Neurospora crassa OR74A: one gene and its partner. The protein of the gene in region 1 purifies or fractionates together with the protein of each later gene. This does not show direct contact. Links are inferred from orthologs where the notes say so. Each region holds a gene or a part of one and is shown in the gene's direction. Other genes may lie near its edges.

Evidence for each region.
Region 2: the proteins of NCU03095 (region 1) and NCU04770 purify together in Saccharomyces cerevisiae (affinity purification with mass spectrometry; 5 studies listed by BioGRID, with this or other methods). This does not show direct contact. The link is inferred for Neurospora crassa OR74A from reciprocal best matches to the Saccharomyces cerevisiae genes TAF7 and SPT15.

Annotation. Positions count from the first base shown.
Region 1 is NC_026501.1:4,523,262-4,527,780, reverse strand, and holds NCU03095 (transcription initiation factor TFIID subunit 7), read left to right. Parts: upstream 1-1,646; 5' UTR 1,647-2,129; coding exon 2,130-3,821; 3' UTR 3,822-4,043; downstream 4,044-4,519. Other genes in the region: NCU03096 (bromodomain associated domain-containing protein), read right to left, coding at 1-76, 169-571; NCU03094 (hypothetical protein), read right to left, coding at 4,475-4,519.
Region 2 is NC_026506.1:755,540-760,002, forward strand, and holds the start of NCU04770 (TATA-binding protein), read left to right. Parts: upstream 1-1,583; 5' UTR 1,584-2,433; intron 2,434-2,838; 5' UTR 2,839-2,895; coding exon 2,896-3,149; intron 3,150-3,207; coding exon 3,208-3,283; intron 3,284-3,358; coding exon 3,359-3,785; intron 3,786-3,847; coding exon 3,848-3,864; 3' UTR 3,865-4,463. Other genes in the region: NCU17074 (hypothetical protein), read right to left, coding at 539-643, 703-978. UniProt on the Saccharomyces cerevisiae protein: General transcription factor that functions at the core of the DNA-binding general transcription factor complex TFIID. Binding of TFIID to a promoter (with or without TATA element) is the initial step in preinitiation complex (PIC) formation.

The DNA of each region.
Region 1 (4,519 bases):
TGTTCGATGCATTTGCCGAGGAGCGAGCCCGTGTAGCGAGAGTCGTCGTCGTTTTTGCTGTGTTTTAGCTTGAGAGCTATAATAGATAGACTGCTGTTAGCTGATCGGATCGAGTCTGAGGTGAACTTATCTGCCGGGACCTGAACACAGGCAGAAGATTGAACTCACCATTGAGATAATCCGTCGCCTCGTCACTGTCAAGCGCTATCCTCTTGATCTCCTTGTTGACCGGACCTGCTGCCCACGCGACAAAGGCGTCCACTCCCCGAGTGTCTTCCACGCCGTTATACAGCTGTTCCAGTTCCGATTTCTCGGGTAACAGAGCGCCGATTTGCTGCAGGGCCATGCGCACGTCGACTATCGTTGGTACCAGCTCGCCCGTCTCGGGCTCTTCGTTATTGTGCGCGGCGAAGGTGGCTGTGAGGCGACAGAGTGCGTCCAGGTAGCGGGCGGCCATATCAGTTACTGAGTCGAGGACAGAGGTGCGGGCGCCGTGGTAGCCGGCTGCGCGGAGGATCTGGAGAATCGAAGGCCGGAGGAGGGCGTGGTAGAGGTATGGTGGGGGTGTCATGTTGGCGAGAGTCGCTCGGTTTCAGCTAGGTAGGTTTGATGTCGAGGATGGCGTCGCGTTGCTCGAGAAATGTCGTTGGGAAAGGTTGTCGTCTACAAAGGTGCCAGGTCTGATTGGATATGATACAATCAAGAGGGTAGGTGAATGGGCGCGCTGCAGATCAAGAACTGCCATACGCGCCTGGCCTCGTGCACTTGTTCTTCGTTGTCGAGACACTGTCTGCGAGGTTTCGTGTCTTTTTGCTTGTCGATGCAGTGGGGACGACAAATAGTCAGAGTCGGAGACTGATCAGCTATACCAAGAAAAATGACTTGGGCTGAACCGTGGCGATTAGCAGCGCGTTGCTGGCAACAGATGGAAATTGGTTTTCCTCCAATTCAATCGCAGGCGACGAGGTGGGTTAGGTTTTCGAGGGAGTTTGCGGGCTTGCGGCAGGCAGCTCTAGTGGGGCGGGGATGGGTATCGTCACTGCCGTGCAGTGTGTTCTTGGAACTGGGTCCCTTCAACGCTCGCCGGAGGTGAAGGCCACTGCGTAATATCGAAGAAGTCACAAGCCGACGAAGAGTGCCAATGCATGCGTATTAGGAAAGTTTTGTTTGTTAATTATGGTTGACAATAGGGAAAGGAAATAAAAGAGGATTGGATGAAAGACAGAAGGCATAGAGAGTTTCCGGGGTCTTGGCGGGTGAAACTGAGGAGGCATAAAAGTAGGTCCACATTGTCACGGCATCGTGCTATATTCAAAGTAGTATAAGAGGTAAAATAGTATCTTGGAGGAATACAAGCTTCTTGGCAATCCCAAACCTTCTTCTCACTCGGGCCAGTCGCATTGATACCTCTACACTAGAATGGGTGATTTTCATCAGGAAAGCACATGTCAAGTCGAAGTACACAGGACGTTCTGGAACAGTTGGACAGCGGCACGTTTCTATTGTACCCCACCTGCCGCTGAGGAACCGTAGTGGAGTCTTGAAAGCCAAGCTCCGATTTGGACCGTGCAACGACGGACTTTAGCTAAAGGGGGCCCACCCACTTTAACATTTCCACGCTGACGCTCGTTGCATCATTTCCACTTTCAGAACGCGCTTGTCGCAACAGCGGCTTTGATAGCTGCACCGAGCGCGCCTCACCTCCCGCTTTCCTCCCCGCCCACCAAGAAACCTCCCGCTCTCGCCCAGGCCCGCCAAAGAACGCGAAGAGCATACCTCCGCCGTACCTTGTTCGATCCACATCCCCCGGTAGCAACAAAGAGGCATCGCGCCTGTCCGTCATCACCTCGCCCTCATCGAAATCTTGACGGTCAAATCATTGTCCAGTCACGACCGGCCGCCCATTCTTAATACCTAGAGGTCACCTCGTACCGGTGCCTCCCGCCCGATTCGACGCCGACTATCCATACTACCTACGCCAGTACTCAGCGATTGAGCATTTCCTCCGAGTGATCTCTGGATCATTCGCTTTATTCCTCAACGTCCTCATCGTCACACGACCTCAAGACGCCGCAGCAAACCGCTGAAACGGATTACCAGAGCGCCTTGCGCAACGACAAACAGCAAACATGGACCCACCAGGGCCAGTCAAGCGGACATTGACGCTCAAAATCAACACTCAATCCAATGGCTCATCTCAAGCAGGCAGGACGGGATCACCGGCAGTTACACCTGGGCCTGGCCATAACCTCTCTGCCGCCTCGCCACCTCCTCAGACACCGGGGGGCTCACAGGGCCCTCGCAAGATCAAGCTCAACGTCAAGGGCACGTCCTCACAACCACCAACACCAGCCGGGCCGAGACCGCCGTCGCATTCCAACACTTCATCTCAGCCGACACAACCACGGATATCAACAGGAAGCTCGGCTGCTCCCAACATCTTCATGTCCAAGCCCAAGACGGCAAGTAAAGTCTTCTTGAACGCGGCGGCGAGAAAGAGACCAAGAGAAGAGACCGAGGCGGAGGACGGTCCGACAGCGAATGGCATTGGGGGAGAGTCAAGGCCCAAGAAGATCACGCTCAAGGCACCTTCGGGCACAACCCCAGTTCAAACTCCGCTTCTAGCTCCCAAGGTTCGCCTAAAATCGCAGGGCAAAATACCGACGCGGCCGCTGGGGGAGGGTTACGATTCGGAGGCCGATGATAGGGAAGTCGACCCAGTAATTGAAGAGCAGCTGATCTTGCGCATGATGCCTGGTGAGCACTGCGACTATCTCCGGAAAGCCGTGGCTGAAAGGAAAGTGGGCGTTCCTAAACATCAAGGTGGCGCCGATGTTACAATGAAGTTTCTGGATGAAGAAGGACGGCGAGTAATGTTTGTTATTCAAGGGCAACCGTACGCCGCTATTCTGGTTGATCTACCCACAATCACCGAGGGCATGAAGACGTGGGATAAGAAATCCATGGTCAAGTCAGCCGACATTTGCCAAATGATCCTTGTCTTTGCTAAGGTCAAAGACGAGGCGGAGGCCAAGTCGGTTCCTTTACCCAAGGCTGTCGAGCATGGCCACAGATGGCCCCATGGTATCACCCCGCCGATGCATGATGCACGAAACCGGAGGTTTAGAAAACGCCTCAGCAAATTGGAAATCCAGAACAAGGAAGCCGAGGTCGAGCGGTTGCTGGCAGCAGACAGGGAAGCCCTCAACTCCAGGTACGAGCTTGTAGCAGAGGGCGGGCACGGAAATACCGCTGCGCCCGAGTCCGATCACGAATACGGTGACGAGGACGGAGGCATGGGAGGCGAAGAAGACCGACTAGAGGACTATTTCGGGGACGCAAATATGCAGAACCAAGACGACGACAACCTGTTCGACGATCTCGAGGCAGAATTCGAAAACGCGGCAGACACACCTGCCGAAGCAATGGACGCCATGGACTTTGGCGCTGCCACGCCCACGGCGTTAGGCGGCGGCATGGATCTTCCCACACCCCCCACCGCCAACACGGGTACGCCTACCGCTGCACAAACCGAGGAGAGTGCGGCCGAAGCAGTCAGCGAGGAGGACGAATCAGATGAAGACGACGAGGATGATGAGGGTGACATGGACGATGACGGCGATGAAGAGCGCCATGATGAGGTGGCGGGAGTCAAGGCTGAGATTGCCACACTGAGGAAGCAGCTGGCCTCGTACGAGGAGCAGTTGTCCAAGGCAACAAGCATTATCATGAAGAAACGTCTGGAAGGCAGTATAAAGAACATCAAGTCGGAGATTAAACTGAAGCAATCTTCGATTGGTGAGGTGTCCGAGGAAGATTGAAGGGGGTATCCAAGCTGTGCTGTTATGGACCTGGAATCTATTTCAGAGAAAGGATTATCGTATGGGCCATATTATATCATGCTAGCCAGAAACTCAGAAGTCAGTGAATAGCAGCAAGTTGAGAATGCCCAACGAGCGGCACAAAGAAATGGCACTTGTTAGGCAATATATTTACCGATGCTTGGGAAGCAAGCACACGAGCAAAATTCTGACCTGTTGTCCAAACATTCAATAATTTATGGTTACTAACTGAATCACATGTATTTGTACAGAATCGTTTTTGGATCTAACCATAGCAAATGGCTCTCTGGCTGTCCACTCCAGGGCTCTCAGGCCCTTCACCCTCCTGAAGCCGTATATAGTTTTCTTACATTCAGGACAATTCCCCCATGTCCATGTCCGCTTTCGTGCCCGTAGGTAGCCATACCATGAAGTCGTTCTTGGACGGTTGGATGTTAGTACACATACGAGCCCACCACATCAACTCGGCTGCTGCTGCTGCTGCTGCTGCTGCTGCTGCTCTAGCCGTCCCTCCTTCTCTCCCTTCACGTGCTCCCCCTCTTCTTTTTCTTCCTTCCCACCCATCTCCTCCCATGTTTCGTCCTCGTCCTCCCTCGGGCCTCTGCCTCTCGAACCACCACCACCCCTCATGCTTACATAGCCTTGAGGTAGTTACTCTCCTTAATCTTGGCCTTGCG
Region 2 (4,463 bases), on another chromosome or scaffold:
CTGGCTTTGAATCTCGTTGCTTTAAAAAGCAGGCTTTTTGTTGTGTCGTGATCAAGTCCAACGCGTGCAAATGCGTGCCGCGCCATCCCATCAATGACGAGAACTTTGCTCTGCCAACTGTGTTTGATTGCTCATGTCGCTGCACCACCTTTTTGCGTCCATTTGAGGTGTGCCGGTAGCATGCCTGCGAGTCAGTCCTTTTCCCCTTTCTGTCTGCGCGCTGAACCTGGAACTGTGAATGCTGTTTTATGTCGGTGCTTTTGTAACTCCTGGTTTTGGGGATGTGGCGGAATGGTTTGGCAAAATTCGGTACCCGAAGCAAGAAAGCGAAACCCGGTCGGTTTCGCAGTCATCCGCTAAACAGGCAGCAGAGTGTGCTGAAGTCCTGGCAGTGTCGGATGTGTTGCAGGCGAAGTTGCAAGCGCCATGTGGAAGTTGCGGTGACCAAATGTCGAGAAGCTATTCAGCTGGATTGCGGTGCAGCAGTTGCGGTTGGTTAGATGAAGTCCACTGAAAGTAGCCGCCATGAGAAACGAAATCAAGAGCCGAGGAAGGGAGGCCTCGAAGCGGGAAGTTGGAAGTTGGTCCAGTTTGCGCCGAGGCCGATGCCATAAATCGATAATGGGCGGGAGATCGATGTGTGCTGAGCCAGTTGAGATCATAGGTTGGTAATCAAGCGAGAGCAAGCCTACCTCTACCTACCTCCAGAGGTAGGTGAGCAACCGCCAATGCGTCGCTTCTCGCTGTTGTCGAAACAGAACCGCCGAATGGAATGACCGCCCACCACAGGCCCGCGCAACGCCCAAAAGCACCGAGGAAGTGGCGACGCAAATTCCCGGACACAACACGAGGAAGTGTCGGCTGTGCACTAGATGTCGAATAGATGGATGGATGGATGATGATTGATTGAACAGCCATGATGATACGCCGGGATAGATGTGAGACCATCAGTTGATTGATGAAGCTGAAGGACAACATTCAAGGCATGATGCGTCCAAGCGCCCAAACCTAAGCCGAACGATAGAGTAGCAAAAAGGGAGAAAGAATCGTTTCCTGACCGGTTCGTTCCAAAAGAAAAGCGAGGAAGGAATAAAATGGTTTCAGAAGGTTGCTGTTGTGACGAAGAGTGTGTGGCGAGGGTTAACATATTACGACATGCTGGAGGCCGTTCCAGCCCAATACTTGGCTTGGCAACAGCAGGTTTGTCGGATTTGGGGTTGGTGGGGGAGGGGAAGGATGAGAAAGGGCGCTCTGGCTGCTGAACAGGGAGTGGAGAGCAGGAGCCAGGAGAGAGGACAGGGTCAGACAGAAGTACCGGTACATCGAGGAAGCCTGCATGTCTGGGTGGCTCAGGAGGCGGCAGGACGGGGTGAGGGAGCATGAGCGAACAGGCAAGAGAGATAAAAAGGGCCAATAAAGGCAGCTGATTGGCCGCATCCGGCTCACAGTGCGGCGCACCAAAAAGATAACGACCAGGGGACCCGCCGCCACAAGATTAGCGTGGGTGCCTTAGGCGACATAGCGTAGACTGGGCCGAAAATTATAAGTAGTGGGCGCTCCCTCCAACCCATTGTTTCGAGAGTCTCGCGCGGAAGTCCCGACCGGCCCTACGTATCCGATACCTGCGTGCGGCCTCGATTTTCTTTTCATTTTCCCCACCACCACAACCACCACACCCCTCATCTCCAAATCCACTTCCATCCAGAGAAGCTCAGCCCCGTCCGCATACACGCATCACACGCATCGTCGTCGTCGCTGTTGTCACGGGTATCCAGAAAGAAGAAGAAGAAGAAGAAGAAGAAGCAGAAGATCCAACGAAGCACAACCAGCACAGCATCATCCTGCTGTCGTGCGTTCAACGTTTTACTCTCAATCATCTCTCTCTCTCTCTACCATCCGCCGTCACCGTCACTGCGTTGTGTGGGCGCATCTCTCTCATTTAGGTTTAGGGGTTAATCACAGTCAGTCGGCCGTCAGACAGGAGATCCGATCCTCTTCCGGACAAAGGAAACACATAACCGTCGCCCTTTGCCTGCAAAAGAATCCGACCTCCTCCGTCCGCCGTCGACCTACTTCGTTTTAGGCGTCGAGGATAATAGAAGATTCAGTTCGTTGCACAGGCCACAGTGCATCGCTTTACCATCTCATCATCATCTTGCCTTAGCTGTCCCGGTTACGGTCATCCATTGCCGTGAGCTGTTCCAGAGTGAACTACCTGCGTTCCGACGTAACAAAGGGAAGCCATCAGTCACTTCGACATTCGTCCACTGCCGCCTACCGTCAGGTCGTCAACGCATCACCGTCGAACCACCGCGACACATATCCAATCCTCTTGACGCATCGTCGATTGCAAGAGGTGCCTACCAAGAGTGCTTGTCAGGAAAGGAACAGAAGTGTTGGGGGAGACATTAACTTGTTCATCTCCCGCATTTGGTAAGCTCTTCTTAGCTCTCGCTCTCCTGCCCGTCCCGTCCTTTGCGTCCACACCTTGCCTTTTTTGCACTGGGTTGAGTCGAGGTTCAGTTGAGCCTTGGTGGCAACTATTTCATCCCATCCCATCCCATGCCATTGCATTGTCCATTTGGTGGTGAATAGGTGGGAGGTGCTATTTCACCACGGTTGCCCCACTATCCAGTGACAAACCGGCCCCTCGAGCCCCCCGCCCACATATAAAATAACCATTTCTCGCGCCGTTGGAACTTTTCCCCCAAACAACCACAAACTTGCACTTGGCTTTTACACAAACCAGCCTCTGCACATCTGCGCAATCTTGCACCGCACTTTCGCTCATTTACCAACTTTTTTGTTACGGTAATTCTAATACAGCGCTGGTCGCAGATCTGTTCGAGAACGCAGAAATCCAAGTCTCAGACTCGCGCTCAGATTTGATTCAAGATGGATGCTATCCAGACCCACCCGTCCAACGCCGCTCAGGCGAAGGCTTTCACTGCGCCCGGTTCCCTGTCCTTCCCCGGTGCGGCCGGCGAGCTCACGCCGCCCACGTCCACCGCGAACAGCGACAAGAGCGCCGCGGTCAATGGAGCTATCGGTGCGCAGGCCGCCAACGGCAATGGGGTGACACCCGCAACCCCCGCGGCTACGCCCGCAGCGAACCAGGGTCCCACCAGTGGCATGACCCCTACTCTACAGTAGGAAGACCTTGGCTTTTCTTTTTTCCCTCAAGGGGCTGTGGGCTGACCCAAACAGGAACATCGTCGCGACGGTCAACCTCGATTGTCGTCTTGATCTGAAGACGATTGCCCTGCATGCGAGAAACGCCGAGGTACGTGACGGGTTGGATTGCGGGGTCCCTTGAACTTGTCTGTCTTGGCCATGGTTGTCTAACAGCCGCAAACAGTATAACCCCAAGCGTTTTGCTGCGGTTATCATGCGTATCCGTGAGCCCAAGACCACTGCCTTGATCTTCGCCAGCGGTAAGATGGTTGTCACCGGTGCCAAGTCCGAAGATGACTCGAAGCTTGCGTCGCGCAAGTACGCTCGTATCATCCAGAAGCTCGGTTTCAACGCCAAGTTCACGGACTTCAAGATTCAGAACATTGTCGGTTCTTGCGACATCAAGTTCCCCATCCGTCTCGAGGGTCTTGCTTCCAAGCATCACAACTTCAGCTCATACGAGCCCGAGTTGTTCCCTGGTCTCATCTACCGCATGATCAAGCCCAAGATTGTGCTTTTGATCTTCGTCAGCGGAAAAATCGTCCTTACCGGCGCGAAAGTGCGTGAGGAGATCTACCAGGCCTTCGAGATGATCTACCCTGTGCTTCAAGGTTCGTTATCATATGTCTCTCATTTTCTGCTGTGTTCATTGTCACTAACTGTTTTTCTCCAGACTTCCGCAAGGTCTAAAGAGTCTTTTCGAAGTTCGCACATAGTGATCATCGTCATGCCGCCGCGTGCAGCAGCACAACACCTCTCACACAACATGTCGACAACTGTAATTATACCCACAAAAACACCTATCATGATTTCACGACGAATCTCACCCATACCCAAAAACCGAAAATCACTTTCTTGCGACTCGCGGTTTGCGTCTACTACGACCATCAAGCGGAGTACGGCGCTAGAGTCGACAGGGAGAACCATTGTATCAATGTCCTGTCCATTTTCTTGCGGTTACGTCATCATTTTATTTTCTTCAGCAGCATTGCAGCGGCGTTCAGGTTCGACAAAGAAGGAAGAAAGAGCGGTATTCTTGCTACGTTATTTCAAGTCGGGGCGGTCATTTCCCTCTCGGCGATTCATAAAACAGCCATAGAGCAGATCGCGCGTTGGGGGGAGAAAAGGAGAGTGGTCAATTGTAGTGTTGACTGGCGACACAAATGACACAAATACCACGCGCTAGCGGGTTGATGTTGTCGGCGGCAATGTTGCGCAGGTCGATTGCCGTTCACATCCCTTTTTTTTTTCCATCACATCTTCTCCTCACATACCCACTTCTAATGGCA